Linked DNA regions of Callithrix jacchus. The protein of the gene in region 2 interacts with the protein of the main gene of each other region in a pairwise test. Links are inferred from orthologs where the notes say so. Each region holds a gene or a part of one and is shown on either strand. Other genes may lie near its edges.

The links.
Region 1: the proteins of TLE5 (region 2) and KRT40 interact in binary tests that used the Homo sapiens proteins (3 or more experiments, as listed by UniProt). The two-hybrid records come from large-scale screens. The link is inferred for Callithrix jacchus from reciprocal best matches to the Homo sapiens genes TLE5 and KRT40.
Region 3: the proteins of TLE5 (region 2) and PRR3 interact in binary tests that used the Homo sapiens proteins (3 or more experiments, as listed by UniProt). The two-hybrid records come from large-scale screens. The link is inferred for Callithrix jacchus from reciprocal best matches to the Homo sapiens genes TLE5 and PRR3.

The regions. Positions count from the first base shown.
Region 1 is NC_133506.1:92,280,376-92,290,082, forward strand, and holds the end of KRT40 (keratin, type I cytoskeletal 40), read left to right. Parts: coding exon 1-44; intron 45-123; coding exon 124-249; intron 250-518; exon of another isoform or gene 519-580; intron 581-1,908; coding exon 1,909-2,129; intron 2,130-2,630; coding exon 2,631-2,730; 3' UTR 2,731-3,128; downstream 3,129-9,707. UniProt on the Homo sapiens protein: May play a role in late hair differentiation.
Region 2 is NC_133523.1:2,832,529-2,842,235, forward strand, and holds the start of TLE5 (TLE family member 5), read right to left. Parts: upstream 6,756-9,707; coding exon 6,729-6,755; exon of another isoform or gene 6,728-6,728; intron 5,887-6,727; coding exon 5,789-5,886; intron 1,861-5,788; coding exon 1,797-1,860; intron 450-1,796; coding exon 405-449; intron 1-404. Other genes in the region: uncharacterized protein LOC128930549, read left to right, coding at 6,754-7,569. UniProt on the Homo sapiens protein: Transcriptional corepressor. Acts as a dominant repressor towards other family members. Inhibits NF-kappa-B-regulated gene expression. May be required for the initiation and maintenance of the differentiated state.
Region 3 is NC_133505.1:35,348,192-35,357,898, reverse strand, and holds the start of PRR3 (proline-rich protein 3), read right to left. Parts: upstream 5,258-9,707; 5' UTR 5,217-5,257; coding exon 5,111-5,216; intron 4,395-5,110; coding exon 4,332-4,394; intron 198-4,331; coding exon 1-197. Other genes in the region: GNL1 (guanine nucleotide-binding protein-like 1), read left to right, coding at 6,372-6,444, 6,854-7,019, 7,383-7,519, 7,657-7,808, 7,922-7,993, 9,016-9,223, 9,393-9,488.

The DNA.
Region 1 (9,707 bases), on a different chromosome or scaffold from region 2:
TGGCCAACAACCGCAGAGAAGCAGAAGAATGGTTCGCTGTTCAGGTCAGCACCCAGATCAAAAAAATGGCAGGCTTACAGACTTCTGCCTTTTTTGAATTCTCTAATGGTACCTGTGTTTCAGACAGAAGAGCTGAATCAGCAGCAACTGTCCAGCGCGGAGCAGCTGCAGGGCTGCCAGACAGAGATCTTGGAACTGAAACGCACAGCCAATGCTCTGGAAATTGAGCTCCAAGCACAGCAAAGCCTGGTGTGTGAGGCAAAGGCAGTGTCTGTTGTGTCACTGATAAGTCCGGCCCTGAGATGTTAAGCCCTCTTCCATATCTGGGGATCATATTTCCTTGCCTTTCCCAAGTACTGTCATTTACCCAGCTATTAATAGAAGCAGAAGTGACAAGTCGACAGCTCGTATTGCTCTCTAAGATGCCTCGCCTTCACTCTTGGGCTTGAGTCTGATGCTTCGGCAGCTTTCAGAGACAGGGAGGGGGAAGCAGAGACCTCCAGGCCAAGGTCACTTACTCATTCCAGCAGGTTTTAATTCTCCTTTGATTCAGGCCAGTTTTCCGGGCTCACTGTCATATCTAAAACAAAGAGTCATTTTCAAACGTTTCATCCTACCATTTCCTGGGATCTATACTTCAACCTGACACTTCACTGCCTCCCAGCCCACTCAAGCAACAAGAACACCATGCGTTCAAGATTACATTCACCCGTTCTGGTCAAGCACCACTGTGTGCATTTCATTAGGTCCTGCAGAGAGTACCTAGAAGAATGATGATAGCTGAGCATTCATCCTGTGAGAGGCATCATGCTCATTTAAGCCTCACAATAACTTTATGGGATAGATACCTTTATCCCATAACACAGATAAGGAAAACGGAGACTCAGATTAAGTAATTTGCAAAGGATGTAATTCTAAGAGGCAAACATGGAAGCTGAATTCAGCCAGTCAAATCCCAGAGTCTCTTCTCGCTCTCTGTTTAAATTTATTTTTTATTGATATATTGTAAATATTTATGGAGTACATGAGAAACTTTGTTAGATGCATAGAATGTGTAATGATCAAGGCAAGATATTTAGGGCATCCGTAACCTCCAGTATTTATTAATTCTGTGTGCTGGGAACATTTCAAGTCTTCTCTTCTAGCTATTTTGAAATACACAGTGTGTTGTTGTTAACTGTAGCCACCCTTCTCTACTGTCCAACATGCAAACATATTCCTTCTATGTAACTGTATGTTTGTACCCATTAACCAACCTCTCTTCATCCCCTTACCACACATATACCCTTTCCAGCCTCAGTACCCAGAGCCTCTTCTCTTAACAGCACTATACTATCCCTCCCTGCCAAGAGCCCAAACTCAATGTTTCCCCTCAAATGCTGTTGATAGTCCTTAAGCTTCACAAATACGGCGTGGATTGCTGCAGTCGTAGTGGTGGTAGTAATAGCTGACATGTAGAACAGTGGTAGTATGGCTGGCACTGTCCTAAGTGCTTTACACATACTAACTCTTAATCTTCACAACCCTCTAATGAGACAAAGACTTTGCATTCCCCAATATATAGAGAATAAAACTGAGGCTCATAGAAGGTAAATAATTTGCCACTAGTCACATAGCTAGAAAAGGGTAGAGTAAGGATTTGAAAGTAGGCACTGTTGTGGCTGGGCACAGTGGCTCACACCTGTAATCCAGCACTTTGGGTGGCGGAGGCGGGTGACCAGCCTGAGCAACATGGTGAAACGCCACTTCTACTAAAATACAAAAAATTAGCTGGGCATGGTGGCAGGAGCCTGTAGTCCCAGCTACTCGGGAGGCTGAGGCAGGAGAATTGCTTGGATCTGGGAGGCAGAAGGCTCTGGCCCCAGAGACTGCACTTCATGGTCCTTTGGACAATGTTTCCTCCTGCAGACAGACTCTCTGGAATGCACCGTGGCAGAAACCGAGGCCCAGTACAGCTCCCAGCTGGCCCAGATTCAGTGCCTGATCGATAACGTGGAGAACCAGCTGGCCGAGATCCGCTGCGACCTAGAGCGACAGAACCAGGAGTACCAAGTGCTGTTGGATGTGAAGGCCCGGCTGGAGGGCGAAATCAACACGTACCAGGGCCTGCTGGAGAGCGAGGACAGCAGGCAAGTTCCACAGTTACTCATGAAACCCCTCAGAGTCTCAAAGACGCTGATGTGAGAGAATCCTGTTTCCCCAACATCTGGCCCAGTTCAAACCTCCCTAATGTGTTCAGGGATCTTCTTAAAAGAGTGCTCAAAAGTAGCTGAGGCTAAGCACATGACATGAGAACTATTTTTTAAATATTCTAAAGGCAGATTAATTATTAGTGTCACATGTCATGCTGGCACCTCCCTTTGTTCCTGTTTTCCACTCACGGAAAATCAGGAATAGGCCTAAGATAACATTTGCAAATTCAAGAAAAAAGATAAAAGACTATTCAACTGCCACTGTGAACATGAAGTGGCAATTCTGGGCACAAAGAAGAAATAGCCTTTGGTCAATGCTATTGTGCAGAGTTTTTTTCAGAACGTAAATTATAGGGCAAGTTTTGACATGGTTTTTCTGAATTGCCATTTTATCAAGATTCCCTTGTTAAGCTTAGTTTAAAATCGATTTTCCCCCAGGCTTTCCTGTAACACATGTTCGACCACATGCACGCTGAGCAACACTTGTGAGCCATGCTCAGCCTATGTAATCTGCACAGTTGAAAACTGCTGTTTGTGAATGTGAAGGACAGCAGGTGGAGGAATCAAAGCCAGCAGCGTCCTAGAAAGGAGACGAGGCTTCAACCAGGGACACCCAAACCGGAAGCACAAGTCCAGGGGGCTTTCGTATCCCGGAATTGCCCTCCAGGCATCCTCAGTCTTTCTGCTTCACTATTTCCTCTCCTTCTGGCTTATTTGTGGTATGCTGGGAGCCCATAAAGCATTCTTGCTAATCTCCAAATAAAATATGTTTTCTTCCTTTAGCATGGTAAGTATAGCTCTGTGGCTGATTGCTGTTCGTGGAATATTTATCTTATGGCAAGGGAATCATCTAAACCCATAACCATAGTTTCAATGTATATAAACCCAGATTGAAAATATTTTTTAACTCCTGAAATACAAATAAATTAATGAACCCATGCAAAATGTCATATATCTTAGAAGATAGTTGTATGTATCTTTCTGAGAGAAAATTTAGGAACAAAATATGATAAAATTTATTTTTTGATTATGAAAGTACTAGATTCTCTTTTTTAAAATTTTGGCTCATTGAAAGGGAAGGGGTTACTTACAATTTCATCTTCCAAACAGCCATTGTCCATAGTTTGGGTTTTCCACATAGCTATAATCATACTTACATATGCACACAGTTGTGTAATCTTTCTTTCATTAATGTCATCTGAGCATTTTTAATTTTCATAAAAATGTAATGTTGTACCATCATTTTACTGGTTGCATAGTGTACCATAAGGTGCATTGGTCTGTTACTGGACATTTAGGTTATAAGAATAATTATTCTCATACATTTAAGAAACAAGGTAGAGAACTTCCAGAATGATGAAGTAGGTGCATATTTCCATATTCCTCCTTCCAAGTCTACCTAAAAATGCTGGAAACTACATATAAAATAAACATAAGAAGGCTCTGAAAGGTAGACGAAGAAGGCAAACCACCTAAAGGTATTGAGACCCCAGGAGTGACACTGTGGTGGGCTCCCTGGATTATCTTTTTATCTGATATATCCCAAAGTGGGAGCTGGAGAAACCAATAACCAGAAACACCAACAGGTGCAGACAAAACAAATAAACAGGAAGAGCTTGCTCTGCTTAGCTAAAGAATCAGAAAAGCAGCAGCCTAGAAAGACAGAAAACCTTAAGACAGTAACCACTCAACTCAGCCAGACACCACAGAAAATGTCCTTTCGCCCACCCCTATCCACACCAGGAAAGGCCAGGTAGCCAGTCCAGACTTCTGTCCTTCCCAGGCTGTCACAAGGCACTCAAACTTCCCCACTGGGGTGGAGTCAGGGAAGGCTAAGTGAGAGATCCAGGACTTTCATTCCTGCTACGAGATGTGGAAGCACCCCCCTTCCACCACCACCACCACCACCACGGTGTCAGTGGAGATCACACAGGCAGTCCAGACTTACCTCTGCAGGCTGCAGTGAGGCTCTCTCTTCTTCTCTAGGGCTAGTGTCACAAGAGGCCTGCTGGACAGCCAGGACTCTTTCCCTCCCCCAGCAGTACCAAGGCCACTCCCCCATGCAGTGTCAGTGGAATCTGCATGGAAGCAATACCAAGTTATTTCTGCCCCCCCCCGGCCAGGGTGGTATCTGCAGAGGTCAGGTAAGGAGTCTAAAATCCCCCCTCCCAGCAGTGATGAGGAGCCCTCCCCTTGGGTGTCCACAGAGGCAAAGTGAAGAGAACCTGTATTTCCACTCCCGCCTGTTCGGAATGAAGCAGCATCCCCTTCCCCTACCAAAACAGTGTCAGAGACCAGCTAGAACGGAAGATTAAATAATAACCTGAATTTTATGACATAATACCCCAACATCCAGGTTTCGATCAAAAATTGCTCTTCATACCAAGGACCATAAAATCTCAACTTACATGAGAAAAGACAGTCAACAAATTCCAACATCAAGAGGAAAAAGATGTTAGAATTAACCGACAAGGGTTTTTAACTTTTTATTTTTTATTTTTCTGGGTACATAGTAGATGTATATATTTTGGTACACTGCTGGTGGGAGTGTAAATTAGTTCAACCATTGTGGAAGACAGTGTGGCGATTCCTCAAGGATCTAGAAATAGAAATTCCGCTTGACCCCACAATTCCATTACTGGGTATATATCAAAAGGATTATAAATCATTCTGTTATAAAGACACTTGCACATATATGTTCATTGTGGCACTGTTTACAATAGCAAAGACTTGGAACCAACCCAAATGCCCATCGATGATAGACTGGACAAGGAAAATGTGGCACATATTTACCAGGGAATACTATGTAGCCATAAAAAATGATGTCCTTAGTAGGGACATGGATGAATCTGGAAACCATAATTCTCAGCAAACTGAAACAAGAACAGAAAATCAAACACTGCATGTTCTTACTCATAAGCATGTGTTGAACAATGAGAACACATGGACACAGGGAGGGGAGCATCACACACTGGGGTCTGTTGGTGGGGCTAGAGGAGGGACAGCAGTGGGTGGAGAGGTTGGGGAGGGATAACATGGGGAGAACCAGATACAGGTGACGGGGAGATGGAGGCAGAAAATCACATTGCCATGTGTGTACTTATGCAACAATCCTGCATGATTTGCACATGTACCCCAGAACCTAAAGTACAATACAAAACTTATGAAAGCAGTAGGAGAGACATGACACTTTACCAACAGAAGAAAACAATTTAAATGATGGCAGGTCTGTCACCATAATCCATGGAAACCAATAGGAAGTAGTACGATAGTCTCCAAATGCTAAAAGATAAAAACTGTCAAGCCAGATTTACAGACCCTATGAAAATATCCTTCAGAAAATCAAAGAGAAATCAAGATATTCAGACGAAGGCAACTTAAAAGATGTGGTTGCCAGGAAACCTACCTAAAATGATGATTAAAGAAAGTTCTCTAAACACAAACGAAACTATAAAATAAGGAAACTTGGAACATCAGACAGGAAAAAATATAATAAAAAATTAATATATGAATAATTTAAATAAATTTCTTTCTCTTCCTGAGTTTTCTAAATTAAGTTTCATGGTTGATGCAAGAAGTATAATACTGTCTGATCAGTTCTCAGTATATGTGTAGAAGATATTTAAGACAATTATATTAAAACGGAGGTGAGTAAAGGAATTTAAACAGAGGTAAGTTTTCTACGCTTCACTTAAACTGATAGAACATTAAAAACTAGTGGACAATGGTAAAAAATTAAAAGTTAAAAAGTCCCTGAATTCTAGGTTCTGCATAGGGACCCTCATGCAATAGCCTCAAACATTACCTGCTTTAAATGCAAGAAGCACTTAACGATTCAGGGACTCACACTTCTCAGTGTAAATTTAATATTTACAATTCATGGATTCCTCACTGGCTCTCCAGAGGCAGATAAGGCCTTCTTAGTCCTCAGCTACTGGGCTCAGGCTGGCCCTAGTGCCCATTCTTCCTATGTTGTGCACAACCCCTTTCTTAGAAAGACAGAGGACAGAGCTGTCAAGAACTTTCTATCACTTCCAGATTTGATCTTCCAGGGCAGTGTGGACTAGAGTTTTTACAGATGAGATTCTTGAAAATGACACTCAAAAAAAAAGAAAAGAAAAGACAGAAGCACTTCTAGAAAGTGCTGCCTTCTCAGTTTCTGTGGCAGGGAAGAGACAGCCCAAAGGTCTTCAACCGGACAACAGAGCCTTGCTAATACCCTGCCTAACTGCAAAGGGGCAACGGAGAGTAAGTCTCCCATGTGCCCAAATGGAGAGGACAGCCAGATATGCATGAACCCTAGAATCTCTTTCAGGACAGTCTTGAAACACACAGATGAGGAAAGGGTAGAGGGAACCCCAACAATAAATGTGCAGTGGAGGGACAGGGCAGGAAGAGTTGAGCAATGGCAAAGGATGCAGTCGGGCTAGAATGGATGGAGTGGGTCGGGGTCCAGGAATATGAGGTAAAGTCAGCTGCGTCGAGACTGTGGAGGGCCTTGATTGCCAGGCAAACAAGAATTTGAGCCTTGCTCTGTCTACAGGAAGGTTGAACATTTCTGCACTTGCAGTGGAGCTGTATGACAGTAGATAAAGAAGCTCTCCAAGGTGGAGTATATATTAAAGTGATTACAGGCTAGTCAGATTGACAAAAGTTAACAAATGACCTGGTGGCAGAAAAATAAAGGTGACAAATATCCACTATTCTGTCAGAAGTTTGATAATGAAAAGAAGGCAGAAGCCACCTTCATGGAAGAAGGGCCTTATGGTTATGGGTCAGACATATTGTAGGATCAGGTAACAGACGTGCTTATAGGGAAAGGAAAAATGATCCAATAGTAAAGAAGACATAAAGGAGGCAGGAAAAGGGGAGAGCCTGATGGATGACATGTTGCCCTGAAGAAATCAAAAGAGAATCAGCCATGGGAGGAAGAAACAACTCTGCTTGTGAGACACAAGAGGAAAAGAATAAAAATTATAAGACAGAAAGGTATGGAAGCAGAAAAAAACTCTGAAAAACTAACGAAGCAGAAACGTTAGGTTTTCAGTCAATTTTTCTGATGATTCTAAAAGGGATACATTCAATTTGTGAAATGTATATAAAAACATAAATAAGAAAATAACAATCATCAATAACTACAAAATGCAAAGAATTTCACTGCTAACCTCTTGATGTAGTTTCTTTGAGTCTTTTTAATACATTTTCAAACTTATAGACTATTGCAAACACTGCTATTTTATGGAGTCGAATTTATCGCATTTTTTACAGTTTCTTAATTTCAAGTCACTGTTACAATGGCCTTCCTCATCTGAATTTGTAAAATAATTCACCTTTATTTTCTTTTAGTACATTTATGACTTCCACTTTTCACATTTGAATCTTTGATCCATTTGTAGTTTAAGTATATGGATAAAGTATTGAACATCCGTGCAGCTACCCAGTTGTATCAAATCTTAACTTTTTATGTTAACCTTACTTTACTGAGATATAATTTTCTTTTCTTAAAATTATACTTTAAGTTCTGGGGTACATGTGCAGAACTTGCAGGTTTGTTACATAGGTATACATGTGCCATGGTGGTTTACTGCATCCATCTCCCTGTCATCTACATTAGATATTTCTCCTAATGTCAGCCCTCCTCAATCCCCTCACCCCCTGCTATCCCTCCCCTAGCTCCCCAACCCCCCAACAAGCCCCAACGGGTAATGTTCCCCTCCCTATGTCCATGTGTTCTCATTGTTCAACACCCACTTATGAGTGAGAACATGCAGTGTTTGGTTTTCTATTCTTGTGTCGGTTTGCTGAGAATGATGGTTTCCAGATTTATCCATGCCTCTGCAAAGGACATGAACTCATCCCTTTTTTTGACTGCATAGTATTCTATGTGTACATGTGCCACATTTTCTTTATGCAGTCTATCATTGATGGGCATTTGGATTGGTTCCAAGTCTTTGCTGTTCTAAATAGTGCTGCAGTAAACATATGTGTGCATGTGTCTTTATAACTGAATGTTTTAGAATCCTTTGGGTATATATCCAGTAATGGGATTGCTGGGTCATATGGTATTTCTAGTTCTAGATCCTTGAGGAATTGCCACACTGTATTCCACAGTGGTTGAATTAATTTGCACTTTCACCAACAATATAAAAGCATTCCTATTTCACCACATCCTCTCCAGCATCTGTTGTCTCCTGATTTTTTTAATGATCGCCATTCTAACTGGCGTGAAATGGTATCTCAATGTGGTTTTGATTTGCATTTTTCTAATGACCAGTGATGATGAGCTTTTTTTTCCATATGTTTGTTGGCTGCATAAATGTCTTAAAGGACTTCATGACTAAAACACCAAAAGCAATGGCAACAAAAGCCAAAATAGACAGATGGGAGCTAATTAAATTTAAGAGCTTCTGCACAGCAAAAGAAACTATCATTAGAGTGAACTGGCAACCAACAGAACGGGAAAAAAGATTTTGTGATCTACCCATCTGACAAAGGGATAATTTTCATGGACTAAAATGCCTCAATTGAAAGTATGCAGGTCAGACCGGGCATAGCGGCTCATGATTGTAATCCTAGTGCTTTGGGAGGCCAAGGTGGGAGGATCACTTGAGGTTAAGTGTTTGAGACCAGCCTAGGCAACATAATGAGGCCCCATCTCTATAAAAATCTGTTTTAAAATTAGCCAGGCATAGTGGCATGTACCTGTAGTCCCAGCTACTTAGGAAGCTGAGGTGGGAAGATCACTTGAGCCCAGGAGTTCAAGGTTGCAGTGGGCTATGATTATGCTACTGAACTCCAGCCTGAGCACTAGAGTGAGACCCTGTGTCTAAAAATAAAAATAAAAGTATGCCACTTCATGGAGTTTGAAAGCACATGAACTTGTGTAATCAACACCCAGATCAAGATACAGGATAGCATTTCAAAATGTAGAACATCAACCTTAGAAATTCCTTCTTGCTGTTTTCCAGCCAGCACATCTCTTCCACAGAGACAACCCCTGTTCTGATCTCTAACCATGCCAAAAATGAGTTTTGCCTGTTTTTGAAGTTAATATAAATGTAGGCATGCTGTGTGCACAATTTTGTGCCTGACTTCTTCAGCTCAACATGTTTTTGAGATTTTTCCATGGTGTCGTGAGTACAAGCAGTTCAAACACTTTTGTGTGTATAAAATAAATACGTTCATCTCTCTATCTCTCGTGGACATATACCTAGCCATAAAATGGCTGGGTCCTTGGTCCTTGGGGAGGTCCTGTGTGTGTGTGTGTGTGTGTATGTGTGTGTGTGTGCACGTGCGCGTGCGCCTGTGTGTAAAGTGCATGACTATAGTGCATATATATATAGTGAACGACTGTATAAATAAATACGTGTTTATTTTTATACACTATTTATATAGTCATGTACCACATAAGGACATTTCAGCCAACAATGGAATACACACATAAAAGATGTCCCAGAAAACTATAATGCCATATTTTAATGACATTTCAGTGAACAATGGAATACAGATACAAAA
Region 2 (9,707 bases):
AGGAGGGGGGAGGGAGGAGGGAAAGGGGAGAGGAGGAGGGAAGAGAGGAGGAGGACGAGGGGAGGAGGAGGGGGAGGGAGTGTAGGGGGAGGGGGAGGAGGAGAGGGAGGGGGAAGGGGGAGGCGGAGGTGGGGGAGGGAAGAAGAGGAGGAAGGGGAGGAGGGCGAGGAGGGGGAAGGAGGGGATGAGGGGGAAGGAGGGGATGAGGGGGAGGGGGAGGAGGGGGAAGGAGGGGATGAGGGGGAGGGGGAGGAGAAGGAAGGAGGGGATGAGGGGGAGGGGGGGAGGAGGAGGGGGGAGGGGGAGGAAGGGATGAGGGGGAGGAGGGGGGGAGGGGAGGGGGAGGAGGAGGAGCAGGGGAGGGGGAGGGGGAGGAGGGGGAGGGGAGGAGGAGGAGGGCGTACCTGTTTGTGCATCTCTATGTTCAAGCCGTAGGACATCTCGTAGTACTATTTGGGGGAGAGAGAGAGGGAGCAGGAGATGGGGGTGGGGAAGGATGGGGGGGTGAGGAGACAAAGAGACAGGGGAGTGACAGAGACAGACCAAGTGGGGGAGACAGCAAGAGACAGCTGAGAGCAGGAAGAAAGGGAGAGGCAGGTGGGAGGGAGGGAGTGCAGGAGAGAGAGACACCCACACCCAGCATGGCAGCCAGCCTGCCCGGGAGAGGGGGCTGGGGGCCCGCTAGGGCTGCGGATGGAGACTGGGGGGCCCTCTAGGTCCCTCGCCCCGGCCTGGCTCCTCCCCCACTCCGCGTGCATGGAGAGAACACGCATTCCAGGGCTCCTAATCTTGTATCTTTCTATGTCTTGACTGCGGGTGGGCCCCAACTCCGGGATGTTTGCCTGCCTGGGTATAAACAGTGAGGGCAAACGAGCCTACTGGCTCTGGCTCTGGGGCCAGCAGCTCCCCTCATCCCAAGCCCCAGATCTGACCCTGCCCCTCCCTTGCTCTAAACCCTCCCGTGGCTCCCCGTCACCCGTCGGGAGAAACCCAAGCTCATTCCCAGGCCTTCACGCGGTTTCTCCTTCTCTGCCTGGTAAACTCCTACTCATCCTGCAAGAGCCCAGCTGCGTGCCCCACTTCTCCATATAGTCTTCCTCATCCAGGTCCTAGGTCCCTCTCTCTGACCCTGGCTCCATCCCTTCTGACTGCCAGGGTCAGAGTCTGGCTCTGCCTCCCCCAACAGTCTGGGAGATCTGGGTCCTGGGCTGAGACCCTAGTATCGCTGCTCGAGGGTCAGGCCAGGGTGGGTCAGGGAGGGGATTTCTGATGCAGAAATTGCCACCTGGCAGTTACAACACAAGGCAAAGGATTCTAGCAGCAGTAATGCAGTGTCACACCTCGATCCCCCCGCCCCCTGAAATGAGTAGGGCTCAGACCCCCTCCCACAGGCTTCCTCTCTCAGCTTGGCCCAAAGGGGTTAAGTGGGGGGCCCTTGGCAGTGGGGAGGGCCTCGGCTGCTCCCCCACGTCAGTTCCTGGCTGTTGGCTTTCACAGCCTCCTCCTCCTCCTCCTCCTCCTCCCTCCTCCGCTGCCAAGGACAGCCGGGGGACCTGGCAGGCCTGGTCTGCAACCCGGCGGCTTGGCAACTCAGCCACCTCCTCGGCCAGCTGCCAGGCTAGTGAGGCAGGCTCAGCCCAGCAGGGGCCGGCTGAGTGGAGAACAGGCCCTGAGCCCGCACGATTCCCAGGGGAGGTGGCCCGGGTTTAGGTAGCAGCTGGCCGTGGCGGGGCGGTGGGGTGTGGGAGGCCCTGTCCCCGCCCCGAGCACCGGACCTGGGGGTGGAGTGACTTTACCATCACGTAGTGACGCTGCATCTCCGACTTCTCGCTGGCCAACTTGTCACATTCCAGCTTCAGGCTGAGGAGGCACAGGGGGAGACCGGGTGGTTGGTGGCAGATGGGCGGGACCCCCCACCCTCTGTTATCCAGGGGAGGAAACTGAGGCTCCAAGATGCCTCGACCCCCCCGAAAGGGCGCAATCAGCCCGTTCTCAGAGGGTCAGACAACAACTCTTAATTTTTTAATTGAGATGGGGGTCTCCCTATGTCGCCCAGACTGGTCTCAAAAACTCCTGGGCTCGAGTGATCCTCCTGCCTCGGCCTCCCGAAGTGCTTGGGATTACAGATGGGAGCCACCTGCTGTGCCTGGCCGAGGGAGCCAGGAGCTTTGGTGGGGCTGAGGGCATTGAGTTGAGGGGAAGGGAAGTGGGTAAGTTGAGCTCCCTGTGATTCGGGGGCGAGGGGAGAGCGCCAGGGCCGCTGACGGTAAGGAGGGGGTGATGAAACCCCCCTTGAAGATCTGGTGGAGGAGAAAGAACGGACATTATAGAAACACCAGAAGTCGGAGGGCGCTCGGCATCGCGGCCTCAGAGACTTTCACAAGCCTTTACCTCTCACGATCCGGATGTTCCCGCAGCGTCATTGTCACGCTCCTTTTATAGATGACACAGTGGACACCCAGAGAGGGCGAGCAATCGGCTCAAGGTCACACAGCCAAGAAGCAGCCCAAGCTTTCAACCACAGGGGAAAATTTTCCAGACCCAAATAGAAATCTTAAAGAGGCTGAGAGGGTCCAGGGCTGCAAGGCAGCTCCCAGCTGGCCTTCCCAAGGGGACCCTAGCTTCGTGGGGGCCTGAGCTTCCTGGGGAGACCCCTCAGCTCCCTCTATTCCTTCCTGTCTTTTTTTCTTTTTGAGACAGCATCTCGCTCTGTCGCCAGCCTGGGATGCAGTGGCGCGATCTCGGCTCACTGCAGCCTCCGTCTCCCGGGTTCAAGCGATTCTCCTGCCTCAGCCTCCCGAGGAGCTGGGATTACAGGCGCTCGCCACGACGCTCGGCTAATTTTTGTGTTTTTAGTAGAGACGGGGTTTCTCCATGTTGGCCAGGCTGGTCTCGATCTCTTGACCTCATGATCCACCCACCTCGGCCTCCCAAAGTGCTGGGATTACGCGCGTGAGCCACCCCGCCCGGCAGCCTTTTTTATTTAGCTGTGACAAAACACACCATTTCTCCAACTCCACCTGGGCCGTCCAGGTGGCTTATGCCACAGTTTCCTTCTTACAGGCCCTCCCGGGAGGGATGAGCTTCCAGGCGTTTCTCAAAGCCCCCATGAGGGTGTCGTCGCCGGAGGGAGAGGGTAGGAAGGCCTCCCAGTCCAGGAAAAGAACTCGTGATGCAGTGGGGGAGGTGGACAAGCCCGTGTCCTTTACCCATTTAAATCCAACCCAGCACAGCGGCCCTGCGGACCTGGCTCTGGCTGACCTGCTCCGACCAGCCCCGGCCCCTCCCGGACTGGGTTGAGAGCTTGGCCCTGCGTCTTCCCTGCTGTGTGACTCCAGGCAGACTCCGCTACTTCTCTGGGCTTCATTTCCTCCTCTGTGAGGTGCCACCCACCTCGCAGGGTGCAGTGGGGAAGACTCAATGAACTCAGACAAGAAAAGCTCTGGAACAGTACCCGGCATACAGCAAGCACCCCATAAATGCATGGGGATTTTTTTTTAAAGCCAGTCAAATTTAGCAGTGGGGGCTTGTATACCAACTTTAGCGATACTAATGTTAGTAAGTTCTGATAACCCAGTAGCAGCCCATGCCCATGGATCTTATGACCCCCAGGGAGCCTGGCACTGTGCTCTACCGGAGAAGAGGGTGCCAAGTTGGGGATGTTTGGCCTCCACCAGCTTTCCTCTAGTGCACTTGACCAGGCGCGGTGGCTCACGCCTGTAATCCCAGCACTTTGGGAGGCCGGGGCGGGTGGATCACCTGAGGTCAGGAGTTCGAGACCAGCCTGGCCAACATGGTGAAACCCCGTCTCTACTAAAAATACAAAAAATTAGCTGGGCATGGTGGCGCGTGCCTGTAATCCCAGCTACTCGGGAGGCTGAGGCAGGAGAATTGCCTGAACCCAGGAGGCGGAGGTTGCGGTGAGCCGAGATCGCGCCATTGCACTCCAGCCTGGGTAACAAGGGTGAAACTCCGTCTCAAAAAAAAAAAAAGTGCATTTGTTGCTAACATTAAAAAAAAAAAATCAGGGCTGGGCAAAGTGGCTCACGCCTGTAATCCCAGCACTTTGGGAGGCCGAGCGGGTGGATCACCTGAGATCGGGAGTTCAAGACCAGCCTGGCCAACATGGCGAAAGCCTGTCTCTACTAAAAATACAAAAATTAGGAGAGTGGTGGCGCGTGCCTGTAATCCCAGCTACTTGGGAGGCCGAGACAGGAGATCACTTGACCCAGGAGGCGGAGGTTGGAGTGAGCCGAGATTGCCCCTCTGCACTCCCGCCTGGGCGACAGCGTGAGACTTGATCCGGCCACCCAGGGGCTGTTATGCCTTGAACATCCAGTGTGTGCCTGATATGGCAGGGCTTTCTGGATAGCAGAAAGCCCAGGCCCAGCAGATGGAGACTCCAAAGCTCAGAGAGGGCGTCTGGCTTACTGGAGGTCACACAGCACTGCGAAGGCCATCTGATCTCTTCCCTGTGGAATCAGGTCAGCCCCAGGGCCCACCAGGCAGTCTCAAACCCTATGCTTCCAGGGACCCAAATAGAAGTTTCTGGGGCCTTCCTGGAAAGCTGGTTCCAGTGCTTTTGACTGTCGGGGTCTCAGTGTGCCCATCTTGAGAATGGGCACGACAGCCGGACCTCACGAGGAAGCACATATGGTCTTTAGCACACAGGGAGTACCCCGAAAGTTTGGATAGTTTCAAAATCGAGATTCCCCTTTCTACTTGGAGGAAGTCCAGGGTCCCTCCAGGATGGGCAAACTGCAGTCAGGAGAGGGCCCCCAGGCTGAAACGTGGGCCTCAGCGTGGCCTGACTTCCTCCAGACTCCCAGGTCTGCTGCGCCCCTCCAGAGCAGGGCACGTGGGAATCTGCATCCTTACACCAGGAGAGAGACCTGGTGCCCACCTCAGCCTTGCCCCTTCCTCAGTGCTGTGGATACTAACCCTGAGGAAATCCCTGACCTCTCTGGGCTTAAGCTTCTTTCTTTTGTTTTCTTTTTTTTTTTTTCTGAGACGGATTCTCACTCTTGTTACCCAGGCTGGAGTGCAATGGCGCGATCTCGGCTCACCGCAACCTCCGCCTCCTGGGTTCAATCAATTCTCCTGCCTCAGCCTCCCGAGTAGCTGGGATTACAGGCACGCACCACTGTGCCCAGCTAATTTTGTATTTTTAGTAGAGACGGGGTTTCACCTTGTTGACCAGGATGGGCTCGATCTCTTGACCTCGTGATCCACCCGCCTCGGCCTCCCAAAGTGCTGGGATTATAAGGGTGAGCCACCGCCCGGCCTGGGCTTACATTTCTTTAAGAGGACTCAATAGTTCCCTCGCCTTAGACCAGCTACATGGCAAACTCTTCAGAAAGGTCAGATTTCTGAAAGGAGAAGCACCTTGGAGAACGTGATGGGCGCTGGGAACCCTTTCTCCAAAACTGGCCAAAGACAGACATAACCAGGTTACAAAATGTGTTTTGGGGTTGGGGGGATGGTGAGTCCAGGCTCTAAGCTGGTTGGCGCAAGGTCTTTTATCCAGCGGGGGGTGGGGGGGGGCTTGGGGGAGACTGGGGAGGAGGGAGGGACTCTGAAGTCACACAGGTGGGTCTTTGGGCAAATTATTTAACTTTTTTGTGCCTCGGTTTCCTCCTCTACAAACTGGGGCTGTTTAAAGAAAGGAATTCAGTATTTGTCAAGCGATTCGGTCGGAGCCTAGCACACGTTATTTTCCCAATCTGCCGTCCGTGCAGAACAAGGGGGCTCACCCTCTCGGGCGCAGGGACCCCGACCCGCCCCTCACCTGTGGTACTGAGCTTGCAGGAGCTGAAACTCGTCTTTGATGCGGTCGCAGGAGTCCGAGGTGGTGAATTTGAGTTGCTGGGGTAGGTGCGAGGAGCCCTGTGGGGAGGGGGGCGCCCCGGTCAGGCCCAGGCGTGGGCCAGGCCCCCCTCAAGGGCGGGCCAGGAGGGAGCGGCCGCGCAGCTGCGGCGCCCCCCCTCCTGCCCCACTTCCTGGGCCCGTGTTTACCGCCCCTGGCAAGGCCCCCACCCGCGCTTCCTGCCCCCGCCTCTCCCCGGGGGAAGCTGAGGGGGTGGGTGCGCCCGGAGCCGCCCCGTCCCCCGCCACCCCCAGGCAGTGGGGGGTGCGTTTTAAGGCCCGCCCTAGGTGGGGGGCAGGGTACGCCCTCTACCGCCCCTCCAAAGCGCCGGGAGTGGGTGCCTCCGAGGGGGGTGGAAACGCGCCCTAGGGAGCCCCCTCCCCAAGTTGAGGGGCAGCGAGTCCCCCCTGCAAAGTCCCCTTGGGGAAGGGGGTCTCTCTCGGCGCCCTAAATCTTCCGGGGGGGAGCCCACCCCAGAATCCCAGCGCCCTTCCTCGGGGACGCGCTCTCTTCCGGGAGGGGGGACGCCTCGGATTGTCCCCCCCACCACAGGCCCCCAAAGGAGCCCCGCGCTGGAGGTGCCTGGCGGGGCTCCCGGAGATCCCCAGGCCCGAGGCCAAGGCCGTCCGAGGCCCTGCCTGTCCCGGCGGGCGGGGGGGGGGGCGCCAAGCCGGGAGCTGGGGGGGGGTTCGGGGCCCGGAAGCTGGGGGAGAATCGGGAACTGAGGGGGTGTCCGGGGGTCGGCGGCAGGACGGGGGTCGCGCGGGGCTCGGAGCCCGAGAGGGAAGCCAGGGCCCGGGAGCTGGGGGGGCGCGGGGCGGGGGCGCGGGGAGGGGGCGCCGGGCGGGCGGGCCCCGCTTACCGAATGCCTGCTTTGTGGAAACATCATGTCAGTCGCGGCGGGGGGCGCGGGCTGCGCCCCGGCTGTGCGCCCCGGCTCGGGCTGCTCGGGGCGCCGGGCGGCCGCGCCTTTGTCCCGGCGCGGATCGGCAGCTCCCGGGGCCGCCGCCGCCGCCTCCCGCGCCCGGCCTCGCCCGCTTCCTGCGCCCCCTCCCCGCGCGCCCGGCCCCGGCGCGCCCCGGGCCCCGCTTCCTGCGCGCCCGGCGCCCCTCCCCGCCCCTCCCCGCCGCCCGCCTCCCCGCTCCCCGGCCCCACCGCTATTGTCTAATGGCGGCGACGCCGGCGGTGGCCGCGGCTCGGCTGCTGCGGAGGCTCCGGCTCCACCTGCCGCCGCCGCCCGTGCCCCGTGCGCGCCGCCGAGGGGGGGGACGCGCGCGCCCGGGGAGGCCTGCGGATCCCCACCCCGGCCCGCCTCCCCGGGGCCCGCCCGCCGCGGTGACCTTGGGCCCGGCGCGCCCCCGCCCCGGGCCGCGGCCCCCGCCACCCGCCCCAGCCTGGCGGCCGGCCTGGCCTCGGTTTCCCCATCTGTCAGAGAAAGGGACCCGGCTGCCCAGGTCGAAGCCGCCGGCCCTGCGGTGGCACGACCTGGACGCGTGCCAGGGACGTATTCTGTGACCTTGGCTCTGGCTGGGCGGTGGTTCTCGCCGGGCCTCAGTTTCCTCTTCTGCAGAAAGGCAGCGGTCATGCCGCCTTCCTCAGGGAAGCCATTCTTTGGACACCTTTATGGAGGGCCTGTGTGCCAGGCCCGGCTGCTCCAGGGCCCTGGGGTGGGTGGGGGGGGTACAAGGCCCCTGCCCTGGTGAGGTGCCTGGAGACAGACAGAGATAAATTCAGGAGCTGAATTCCCAGCAGGTCAGATGGTGGGGACGCCTCTGCGGGGAAAATCGGCTGGGACAATGGCGGGGTAGGAAGGTGCAAGGTTGAACAGAGGGCAGGGAGGGTCAGAGAGGGCTTCCTCCTCCACAAACGGACCCCAAGGAGCGAGAACAGGGGATGGGGGCAGTGCCAGTCAGAGGCAGGACGAGCAGGTGCAAAGGCCCTGGGGCAGGACTGTGCCTGGCACCAGGATGCCCGGGATGGAGGCAGGGCCTGGGCCTGGGGCTTCATGCTGTTGCCCAGGCCCCCTGCCCCCAGCAGGGCTTCTGCCTGGGTGAATCTTTACTGCTGCGTTTTGAAATTCCGAATCATTTTCGAACAAGGGGCCTTTCAGTTTTCTTTTGTACTGTGCCCTGCAACTCTGTAGCTGGTGACACAGGCCAGTTCCAAAAGGGCTTGTGGGCCTCGGGGAGTACAGGGCTCTTGCTCTGAGTGAGGTGGGAGCCCTGGAGGGCTGTGGAAGGAAGAGGGACAGGACCTGGTGGTTTTTTTTTTTTTTTTTTTTTTTTTTTTTTTGAGATGGAGTCTTGCTCTGTCACTCAGGCTGGAGTGCAGTGGCACGATCTTGGCTCACTGCAGCCTCTGCCTCCTGGGTTCAAGCGATTCTCCTGCCTCAGCCTCCTGGGTAGCTGGGACTACAGGCACCCACCACCACGCCCACCTAATTTTTATATTTTTAGTAGAGATGGGGTTTCACATGTTGGCCACGGTGGTCTCGAACTCCTGACGTCAGGTGATCCTCCCGCCTCCTCCTCCTCCCAGAGAGCTGGGATTACAGGTGCTTTTGCTCTGAGTGAGGTGGGAATCCCTGGAGGGCCGTGGGAAGAGGAGGGAGCAGACCTGGTGGCAGTTATGAAAGGATCCCTCTCTCTGCCATGCGGAGAACAGGTCCCAAAGAGGTGCTGAAATAAGGCTGTGACTTCAGGGTCTTCCTCTGGCAGGTGCTAAGTACAGTCTCTTCATCGTCATCACCCACTAGGCACCCTGCCCCCTCGGATGAATGGTTGGCCTCGACTGTGCTCAGCTGTAAAATGGATCTGGAACCCAAGGCTCCTTACCTTGGCAGATAAAGGTGAGAGCCGTCCGTGATCAAGATTAATTATCTTGGCCGGGCGCGGTGGCTCACACCTGTAATCCAGACACTTTGGAGGCCAAGGCGGGCGGATCACCTGAGGTTGGGAGTTCAAGACCAGCCTGACCAACATGCTGAAACCCCATCTTAAAAAAAATAATAAAAATAAAAATAAATAAAGGAGGAAGGAACAAAGATTAGGATTTTGGACTTACTTTTTTTTGAGACGGACTCTCATTCTGTGTTCAGGCTGGAGTGCAGTGGCGTGATCTCAGCTCACTGCAACCACTGCCTCCGGGGGTCAAGTGATACCCCTGCCGCAGCCTCCCAAGCAGCTGGGACCACAGGCGTGCGCCAGCACACCCAGCTAATTTTTGTATTTTTATTAGAGACAGGGTTTCACCATGTTGGCTGGGATGGTCTCGATCTCCGATCTGCCCTCCTTAGTCTCCCAGACTGTTGGGGTTACAGGTGTGAGCCGCCGCACCCGCCGTGGGTTTTTAAGATGAATACTTACTACTTGTTAAGAGTCAGGCCTTCAGCCAACCACAAAGCCCATGTTTTTGCTGCCACCAGCAAAACCCTGCTGCCCCGCCCCCACCGCCGTGGGGACCAGACGCCCTCTCTCCTGGGAGGCCACCTGCCAGGGTTTATGTACGCAGGTGCCTTCCAGTATCAGTGCGCCGGGGACCAAACACTCCCATTTTCTTTTCTTTTTTTTTTTTGAGACGGAGTTTCGCTCTTGTTACCCAGGCTGGAGTGCAATGGCGCGATCTCGGCTCACCGCAACCTCCGCCTCCTGGGTTCAGGCAATTCTCCTGCCTCAGCCTCCCGAGTAGCTGGGATTACAGGCGGGCACCACTGTGCCCAGATAATTTTTGTATTTTTAGTAGAGACGGGGTTTCACCATGTTGACCAGGATGGTCTCGATCTCTTGACCTCGTGATCCACCCGCCTCGGCCTCCCAAAGTGCTGGGATTACAGGCGTGAGAC
Region 3 (9,707 bases), on a different chromosome or scaffold from region 2:
GCTTCCCCTGGTGGGACCCCCATGGCCTGGCCCCGGAAAAGGAGGTTCAGCATTGACTCCCCACCAACCACGACCATATGGGCTAGACCTGGGGCCAAGGCCTCCCCGAATTGGGCCTCTACCCCATGGAGGAGGTGGGAGGCTCAGCAGTGGTGGAATCAATGGTCCCCTTGATCCTGGAGGACCTCTGTGAAAAGCTGGAGAGAGGAAAAAAAAAAAAAAAGGTGACCAATGGGCAGCTTAATCCTAATAAGCCCTGATTTTTAAAAAAATTTTTTATTGAAGAACAGCATACATAAACACACACCAGTTTTAAGTGCACAACCCAATTATCACAAAGTAGACACACTTGACTTTCCGCCACCAAATGATAAGGCCTTATTAGCACCTCAGTAGATCCTCCCCTTGTGCCCCTTTTCCCACTATCCACCCTCCTCCCCAAAGGTAACCACTATCCTGACAGCATAGGTTAGTTTTTGCCTGTTTTTGAACTTCACAAAAAATGGAATCATACAGTCTGCATTCTTTTATGTCTGGCTCCTTTCGCTCAACATCATGTTTGTGTGATTCATCCAGGTTGCCTGTAGAAGTAGTTCATTCATTTCGCTGCAGTGTAGTATCCCATTGCATGCATACACAACAACTTATTTATCCATTCTACTGCAGATAGACTTGTGGGTGGTATCCAGTTTGGGGCTATAACGAGAAATTCCACTATAAACATTTTTATACATGTTGTTACACATATGTATGCATTTCTGTTGAGTATATATGCAGTAGAGGTATTGCTGGGTCATAGAGTGTACGTTATGCTCAAGTTTCATGCATAATGCCAAACTTTCTTTTTGGAGATGGAGTCTCACTGTGTTGCCCAGGCTGGAGTACAGTGGCATGATCTTGGCTCACTGCAACCCCTGCCTCCCGGGTTCAAGCAATTCTCCTGCCTCGGCCTCCTGAGTAGCTGGAACTACAGGTGCACACTGCCACACCCAGCTAACTTTTTGTATTTTAGTAGAGACGGGGTTTCGCCATGCTGCTCAGGCTTGGTCTCAAACTGCTGAGCTCAGGCAGTCCACCCACCTCGGCCTCACAAAGTGCTAGGATTACAGGCATGAGCCCAAACTTTTTTCCGTAGTGGTTGTACCAATTTGCACTCTCACCAGCAGTTGTCCTTTAGCCTTGACAGCACTTGGTATTGTTTTTTAATTTTTACCATTCTGGTGAGTGTGAAAAGTGGTGTTTTAATTTTTTAAATGAGAGATTGGGTCTTGCCACATTGCCCAGGCTGGTCTTGAACTCCTGGGCTCAAATGATCCTCCCACCTTGGTCTCCCAAAGTGCTAGGATTATAGGTATGAGTCATCATGTCTCATCTTGTTTGCTTTTTATTGTGCTAAAAAACACATAAAATTTACCATCTTACCTGTCTTTAAGTGTATATATAGTTCAGTAGTTACATATATTCATATTGTTGTGAAACAGATCTCCAAAAGTTTTTTATCTTGCAAAACTGAATGAAACTGTTCCCATTAAACAAAACTCCCCTTCTTCCATCTTCCTTCCCCCAGCCTCTAGTAACCACCATTCTGTTTCTTTGAATTTGACTTTATTTTTATAATTTTTTTTGAGACAAAGTCTTGCTCTGCTGCCCAGGCTGGAGTGCAGAGGTGTTATCTCGGCTCACTGCAACCTCCACTTCCCAGGTTTAAGCAATTCTTGTGCCTCAGCCACCTGAGTAGCTGGGATTACAGGCGTGTACCACCATGCTGGGCTAATTTTTGTATTTAGTAGAGATGGGGTTTCCCCATGTTGGCCAGGTTGCTCTCAAACTCCTGACCTTCAGTGATCCGCCTGCCTCGCTCTCTCAAAGTGCTGGGATTACAGGCATGAACCACCATGCCTGGCCCCTGAATTTGACTTCAGACTCCTCACATAAGTGGAATCATACACTATGTCTTTACTTAACATAAAGTCCTCAAAGTTCATCCATGTTGTAGTATATGACAGCATTTTCTTCCATCATAAGGCTGAATAATATTCCATTGTATGTACACACCACATTTTTTTTTCATCATTGGATATGTGGGTTGCTGCTATGAACATGAGTCTGCAAATCTCAAGACCCTGTTTTCCATTTTTTTTTGGATATATATCCAGAAGCAGGAGTTCTGAGTAGTTCTATTTTTAATTGTTTTAGAGGAACATCTTCATATTGTTTTCTATAGTAGGTTTACCATTTTATAATCTCAGCAGCAGTACACAGAGTTCTAATTTCTTTCTTTCTTTTTTTTTTTTTTTGAGACAGCGTTTCACTCTTGTTGCCCGGGCTGGAGTGCAATGGCATGATCTCCACCTCCTGCAACCTCTACCTCCTGGGTTCAAGTGATTCTCCTACCTCAGCCCCACAAGTAGCTGGGATTACAGGGATAAATAAAAATATAAAATAAATAAAACAACAACAACAACAACAAAAAAAAACCTTTGTCTCCTGGGTTCAAGGCTAATTTTTGTATTTCCAGCAGAGACAGGGTTTCACTGTGTTAGCCAGGCTGGTCTCAAACTCCTGACCTCAGGTGATCCACCTTTCTTAGCCTCCCAAAGTGTTGGGATTACAGGTGTGAGCCACCACACCTGGCCAAGAGTTCTAATTTCAAAGTGGTATATTTTTGTCTTGCATTTATTAATGATGTTGATGCTTATTCATTTAGATCATTAGTTTATATCTGCATTTTAATAAGGTAACTGTTCTGGTCTTTTGTCAGTTTTTCAAATAGCTTGTCTGGAAAGGTTATTTATGTATTATAGATACAGGCTCTTTATTGGTTATATATATATATATGTATTTTTTTTTTTAAAAAGACGGGGTTTCACCATGTTGGTCAGGCTGGTCTTGAACTCCCGACCATCTTGGCCTCCAAAGTGCTTGGATTACAGGTGTGAGCCACCACGCCCCGCCTATTGGTTATATTTGTTGCCATTATCTTCTACTGTATGGTTTCCTGTTAATTTCTTGATGGTGTCATTTAGCAAGTTTATATTTTCTAACAGTTCAATTTACCAATCTTTCCTTTATGGTTAGTATGTATATGGGCATTTCTGGTCTGTTTAAGAACTCTTAGAGCATGAAAATACATTTACTTTCTTTTTTTTTTTTTAAAAGGTGGGGTTTCACCACGTTGGCCAGGCTGGTCTTGAACTCCTGACCTCAGGTGATCCACCACCTCGGCCTCCCAAAGTGCTAGGATTACAGGCATGAGCTATTGCACCCAGCCCATTTATTGTCTAGAATAATTATTCTCTTACCTTTTATTTATTAATTTTTTTAGAGATGGAGTTTTGCTCTTGTTGCCCAGGCTGGAGTGCAAGTGGTGCAATCTTGGCTCACTGCAACCTCTGCCTCCCGGGTTCAAGTGATTCTCCTGCCTCAGCCTCCTGAGTAGCTGGGAATATGTGCCACCATGCCCTGCTAATTTTGTATTTTTAGTAGAGACAGGGTTTCTCCATGTTGGTCGGGCTGGTCTCAAACTCCCAACCTCAGGTGATCTGCCCGCCTCGGCCCGCCAAAGTGCTGGGAATACAGGTGTGAGCCACCGCACCTGGCCTCTCTTACCTTTTATACTTAAATCTACAGTCCATTTGAAATAGATCTTTATATATGATTATGAGTGCAAGGTGAAATTCCATTTTTTTACATGAATATCCAAGTGATCCAGTATCATTTATTGAAAAGACCAACTTTTCAGTTCCATCTTCATCATAAAGGAAGTGTCCACACATGTATGGGTCTGTTATTGGAGTCTTCAGGACCTAAGTCCTGTTGACTTATGTCTATAATTGTGTCCAAACTGCATCGTTGTAACTATTATAGCTTTATAGTCTTTTTCTCTTGTTTTTAGAGACAGGGTCTCACTATGTAGCCCAGGCTGGCCTCAAACGATCCTCCCACTTCAGTCTCCTGAGTAGCTAGGACTATAGGCATGTGACACCATGCCCAGCTTACAAATCTTGATATTCATAGCAAGCCTTCCCACTTCAAGATCATCTTGACAGTCTCTCACCTTGATATTTTGCATTTCCCTATAAAAATGTGTATTTCTACAAAAACACTGTAGATATTCTGGCTTGGAATGCATGAAATCTATACATCAGTTTGGGAAGAAGTGACATTTTAACAACATCGAGTTTTTCAATCAGCAAATATACAACTTTTCTCCATTCATTTAGGTATGGAATCCCTGATCTTTTGATTTTTAAGTCCTTTCTGGGTTTTATCCCCTCCCTTGCTCTCTTCTCCACGACCTAATACAAGGATCAGGGCCCCTTCCTCCTCACCTGACTTAGGGTCACCAGGTTTTCCATTGGCCATGGGGGGAGGGCCCAGAAGGCTGGGTGGTCCTAAGAGCAGACATGAAAATACGGTCATCAGAATGGATTAAGGGACTGATGATTCTGTTCTTAGGTGTTTTTCTTCTATTACTCATTTCTTAATTCAACCAGTAAAGTCAGGTATATTTTCAGCAGTCTTAGGAGTTCTCACCCCATCTACCTGCGCTTTTTTCTGCAAAGCTGTTTCGGGTTTGCAAAGAGTAGATATTCAATCAAAGGGGATAATGCAGGAAAAGACAAAACTTTTTCTTTTCCTCACCGTACCGTCGCTATCCAAAACAATCCAAGTGTCTCCAGACATAAACCAATCCCTCAACTGCTGGCCAGTCAATTCTCTTCTCCTTCCCCTTGGCCAGAGGACTAGTTCAGAGAAAGCTGCACCTGCACCTCTTCAGTCAGTCTGGATACAAACTGTCATCCCAGTCATCACAATCTGCAACATCTCTACTGTCCCTTTCCCCTATTGTTCTGCGACTGCGCAAAAGAGCTCTTTATTCTCGCCACCCCCGCCTTCTCCAGAAAGGTTTGGGGCCAGTTTGAGGTTGATGGTTCCAGTAAGAGAACTCCTCGTTCAAGGCTCCATTTGGGACAGCCCCTTCCATTCCTCCCCAGCGCGTGCGCCCTTCCTCCTTCCGTTACAGCCCCCTCCTTTGCACCTTACCAGCCCCTAGCCCCTCGCCCGGACGGGCTGACAGGCATGTGCACGTCCCTCCCCGACCCCTCACCGATGGGACTCCCATCCTCCTCATCTCCAGTATCTTCCCGCTCGGGCAGTGGGGGCTGCTGCTGTGATGGTGGCTGGTGCTGATTCTGCTTCTTTCGTTTCGGCATCGTGGCTGCCGCAATGGCTGCAGCGGGATTTGGAGGGCAGTGAGGAAGGGGCACACGGGGATTCTGTTTCCGCTTCCGGCGGGGCGGTGGGCAGCGAGGATGAGGCTCCCGCCATTCCATTTCCGGAACGTTGCGGGGAACATCTGCAGCGGCCGCATTCTGGAGTAAACTGCCTCTGTCCGTCTCTGCTAGGCATGGTGGCAACCTCACACCTTCCCTTTGCTGCGTTTCTATAACTGCTTTGAAAAAAATTCCTCTCTTCTTCCCTCGTTGGAAACCACCACAACCAGCTCCTCGGAGTGTGCCACAGAGTCAAGAGGCTCTCTGGCCAGAAGGCCTGAGAAGAGGACTGTCGCACCGTAAGATCGCCACATCCGGTCCCCGGTTACTATGGTAACAGCTGCAGGCACAACTTCGTGCCCTCTGACCTCCCTCCAAAGTCCTTGTGCCGTTTGGGTTTCCCTTCTCGTCCCCTTTTGCACTCATCTGTAAACCTGCTACTTATCATCGTTCTCACAAGGAATTTGGGTCCCAGCAGGTCGGCACCCAGGACTCTTCAGACCGCCGCCCTCCCCTAAAGACCTCTGATCGTGCCCCCGGTGTAGCTCAGCAACCTGGCTTCTTACCCGGGACGCACAGTCTCGGTTTTCCAGTAAGGTCTAGCCCGAGGGTTGGTTTTGTAGTCTCAGCGAGTCCACGCCTCCTCTCCCCTAGGTAGTAGGCCCCGCCCTCCACTCCACCGCCCCCTCCAGGTGAGTGGTAGCTTCTCCCGGGAGCGCAAAGTAGTGATGACACGCATCCCCCCTTCTCCGAACGCAAGTTGGTAGCGTCCGTGACGGAGTTAGCCCGGTCCTCCCACGCGCGCCTCCTTCGCCGCCGCCGGGGCGCCCTCTCGGTGCCACTGGCTCTCACGTGCCAGTAGCCCACCCCGCATCATCCTCTCGCCTAGCTCCTGGAGGGAAGTGACTGTATATCTCCCTCGGTCGTCTTCCATCGCGGCCGCCGCGGCAATTCGGTCGGGCCCGCCCGCTGACGTCACCTGCTAGCCCCGCCTCCTCTAGGGTCCCGGGCCCCTGCGGCGGGGGCTGCCCCGGGGGCAGTTAGTTGAGGCGGCGGGAGCTCGGTGGAGGGCGGGCCAGGTGACTGGTCCGGGCCATGCCGAGGAAGAAGCCCTTCAGCGTGAAGCAGAAGAAGAAGCAGTTGCAGGACAAGCGGGAGCGGAAGAGAGGTCAGTGCGGGAGCGGGAGGAGGGGGCGGGGCTCAGGCTCCCGCACATCTGGAAGGAGGGGTGTGCTAGCTGCACTTCTCGGGGGCGTGGGAGGGGATCGTGGGAGAGCGCTGACCCTCGAGGCCTTTCGCGGAGGGGATTCCCCACCCCCCCTACATCTGGAAGGGGTGGGGAAAGATGGAGAATTGGGGGAGGGGAATCCCTTCAGCTCGTACAGGGCACGGTCCGCACTGCTCCCTGGAGGAGTGACTCCCCCGCGCACATCCGGGAGGGTCCCGAACAGGGTGGCTGGGAGGACGGAGCCTCCAAAGAAGTTGAGTGGGATGAAGGAGAGTCAGGCCGACGCGGGAGAGGGTCTTACGGCGCTTGAGAGCTGGCCAGCCCTGGCGTCACCCGCCCCTCTCCGCAGGGCTTCAAGATGGGCTACGCTCCAGTTCCAACAGCCGCAGCGGGAGCCGGGAGCGGCGGGAGGAACAGACCGATACCTCGGACGGGGAGTCTGTGACCCATCATATCCGCAGGCTTAACCAGCAGCCTTCTCAGGGGCTGGGTCCGCGAGGCTACGACCCAAATCGGTGAGGGTGGGAGGGGGCACTGGTTACGACTTTCCCGCCTACCCGGAAGTCAGAGCTTTGGGGGAAAGCAGGATGCTACTGGTGAAGACGGTGGGCCTAGGATGCCACAGTTCTCCGCTGGCCTCTCGGCTCCCCAGAGCAGGTCACAATCTTCCTTTCCAGAGAGGCTGGAGAGAATTTGTCTTTTAAAAGGAGGAGGCTGAATATTGCGTGAAAGAGGAACTTGGGGGAAGGCTGACTTGAGACAGGAGGCTTCAACAACTCTGGAGAGAATGCTTTGCGAAGTTGATTGTCCAAGAGGGGAGAAAATGGGAGTTTGTGGCCACAGGATTGCGCTGGATATCTCGGTCCCTGTTCCCTTAGATACCGACTGCATTTTGAAAGAGACAGCAGGGAGGAGGTAGAGAGGAGAAAGAGAGCAGCCCGTGAGCAAGTTTTACAGCCGGTCAGTGCTGAAGTGTTGGAGCTGGACATCCGAGAGGTCTATCAGCCTGGCTCAGGTGAGTGAGAGCAAGACAGGCATGGGCTGGGAAGGAGTTTGGAAAGGTAAGAGCCGACTGTGAGGAAGGAGGGGTCTGGGATGTACTCTTGAATACTGAAAATTTCCTCACACTTGGACTTCTTCCTGATTTCCCAGTTCTGGACTTTCCTCGACGTCCTCCTTGGAGCTATGAGATGTCCAAGGAGCAACTAATGAGCCAAGAGGAACGGAGCTTCCAAGAGTATCTTGGGAAGATTCATGGGGCTTACTCCTCTGAGAAACTCAGCTACTTTGAGCACAATCTGGAGGTGACTCAGAGTAGGGACAAGAGTGGGGCATAGTGACCCATGGTCAAATTGGTTTGGGGTCAGGCGGAGAGAGACTCTGTGTTGAGGTTCTCTTCTGGATCTTGTCTTCTTAGACATGGAGGCAGCTGTGGCGGGTGTTAGAGATGTCTGACATTGTCCTGCTTATCACTGATATCCGACATCCAGTGAGTACTAGCAATAAGGGTGGGCAAGGGGGAGGAGGGAGAAAAGGTTTTGGGGAGCACAGGTCAGAGGCAAGAGTTGGGAGACAGGTATCCATCTTCCTGTCTTTCTAACCTTTACCTAGTGCTGATGTCTTAGGAACTCAGTTTTTTATTCTGTCTTATGGCCTGTCACTCCTCCTTTGGCCAGTTCACTCTCTCTTCAAAACACCATGTCCTGTCTTTTAGCCCACCACAGTTAGACCAATAGAAAATCCAAGTGTGGAGCTCAAGGGATTCTATGAATGCAGTTGGGCACTTTCTCCTGCCCAGCCCAAAGATGCCCTTTCTTCCTTATCTCATTTCTCTAGCACAGCCATATCAGTTGCTACTGAACCTACCTGGAATGCTAGAGTAGTAGTTAAGGCTGTAGACTGCTGCTGGACTGCCCAGTGTGAATCCTGGCTCTGCCACTTCACTCTTGTCCTCAAGTGGGAGAAAGAGAGGTCTGTGAGGACGTTTAGATTGGAGCTCCTTCTTAATGATATATACACACATACTCACAAACACATATATGTGTTCATGTGCATATCAGTATACACAGGCATGTTTGCACACATTTTCACAGTCACATTCTTAATACACAGACATGCACACATGGGCACGTACTTGCATGCATGCATAAATGCATATGTACACACTTACATGGTTGTATGCACACAAAAACAGACTAATTTCTACCCTAACCCCATCCCTATTTCCGATCCCAGCCTTTACCTCAGTGTGCTAAGGGATGCTGTTTCCTTGTCTTGTTTTGGGTTATTTCCATCTCTAATCATGACCTATAGGAAGCCCCCTGAAACTCAGAAGTATTACTAACCCTGTTTTGTCTTCCTTGTTCAGTTTGGGTAGTTTATAGTTTTCAGCCCAGAACCTGCTACTGCCAGGGTCTTGTCTCTGAGCTATGCCTGCTGAGTGGGCAGCTGGAGGCAGAGAACTCTGGGTTGACCTCTTACTGCTCCATTCTCTTACCAACCCTGTCCTAGGTTGTGAATTTCCCGCCAGCACTTTATGAGTACGTGACTGGAGAACTTGGGCTGTCTCTCGTGCTGGTTTTGAACAAGGTGGATCTGGCCCCGCCAGCTCTTGTGGTTGCCTGGAAGCACTACTTCCACCAACACTATCCCCAGCTCCATGTCGTCCTTTTCACCTCTTTCCCTCGGGACCCCCGCACTCCACAGGACCCTAGTAGTGGTGAGTAGGCAATGAGGAGGGCAGCTAGGGAGAGGCGAGTTGGCAGGGGACAAAGGGGAGAACAGAGAGGCTTGTTGACAAGGGGGCACCTGGTCTTAGGCCTAAGGGTGTTGGGAGAGATGAGAGACCTAAGCCTATGTGCCAGTCCTTTTGTACGCTCTGATCTCAGTCTTGAAGAAGAGTCGGAGGCGGGGGAGAGGATGGACTCGGGCCCTGGGGCCAGAGCAGTTGCTGAGAGCCTGTGAAGCCATCACTGTCGGAAAAGGTATGTGGCCCTTAGAGGAGGGCTGTTGGGGACCATGGGGGAGACCCAAGATGCAGAATCATTTGGCTCACCTTTCCACCTCTCTGGTGGATGTGTGTGAGAAGCCAGGGAAAGGGAAAGAATAAGGAGCAGATTGACTTGGTGGGATGAGAGGCAGCAGGTAGTTGGGAGCCTCAGTGGCTTACTGCCTTCAGCCTTCCCAGTACTTTTCAGAAACTC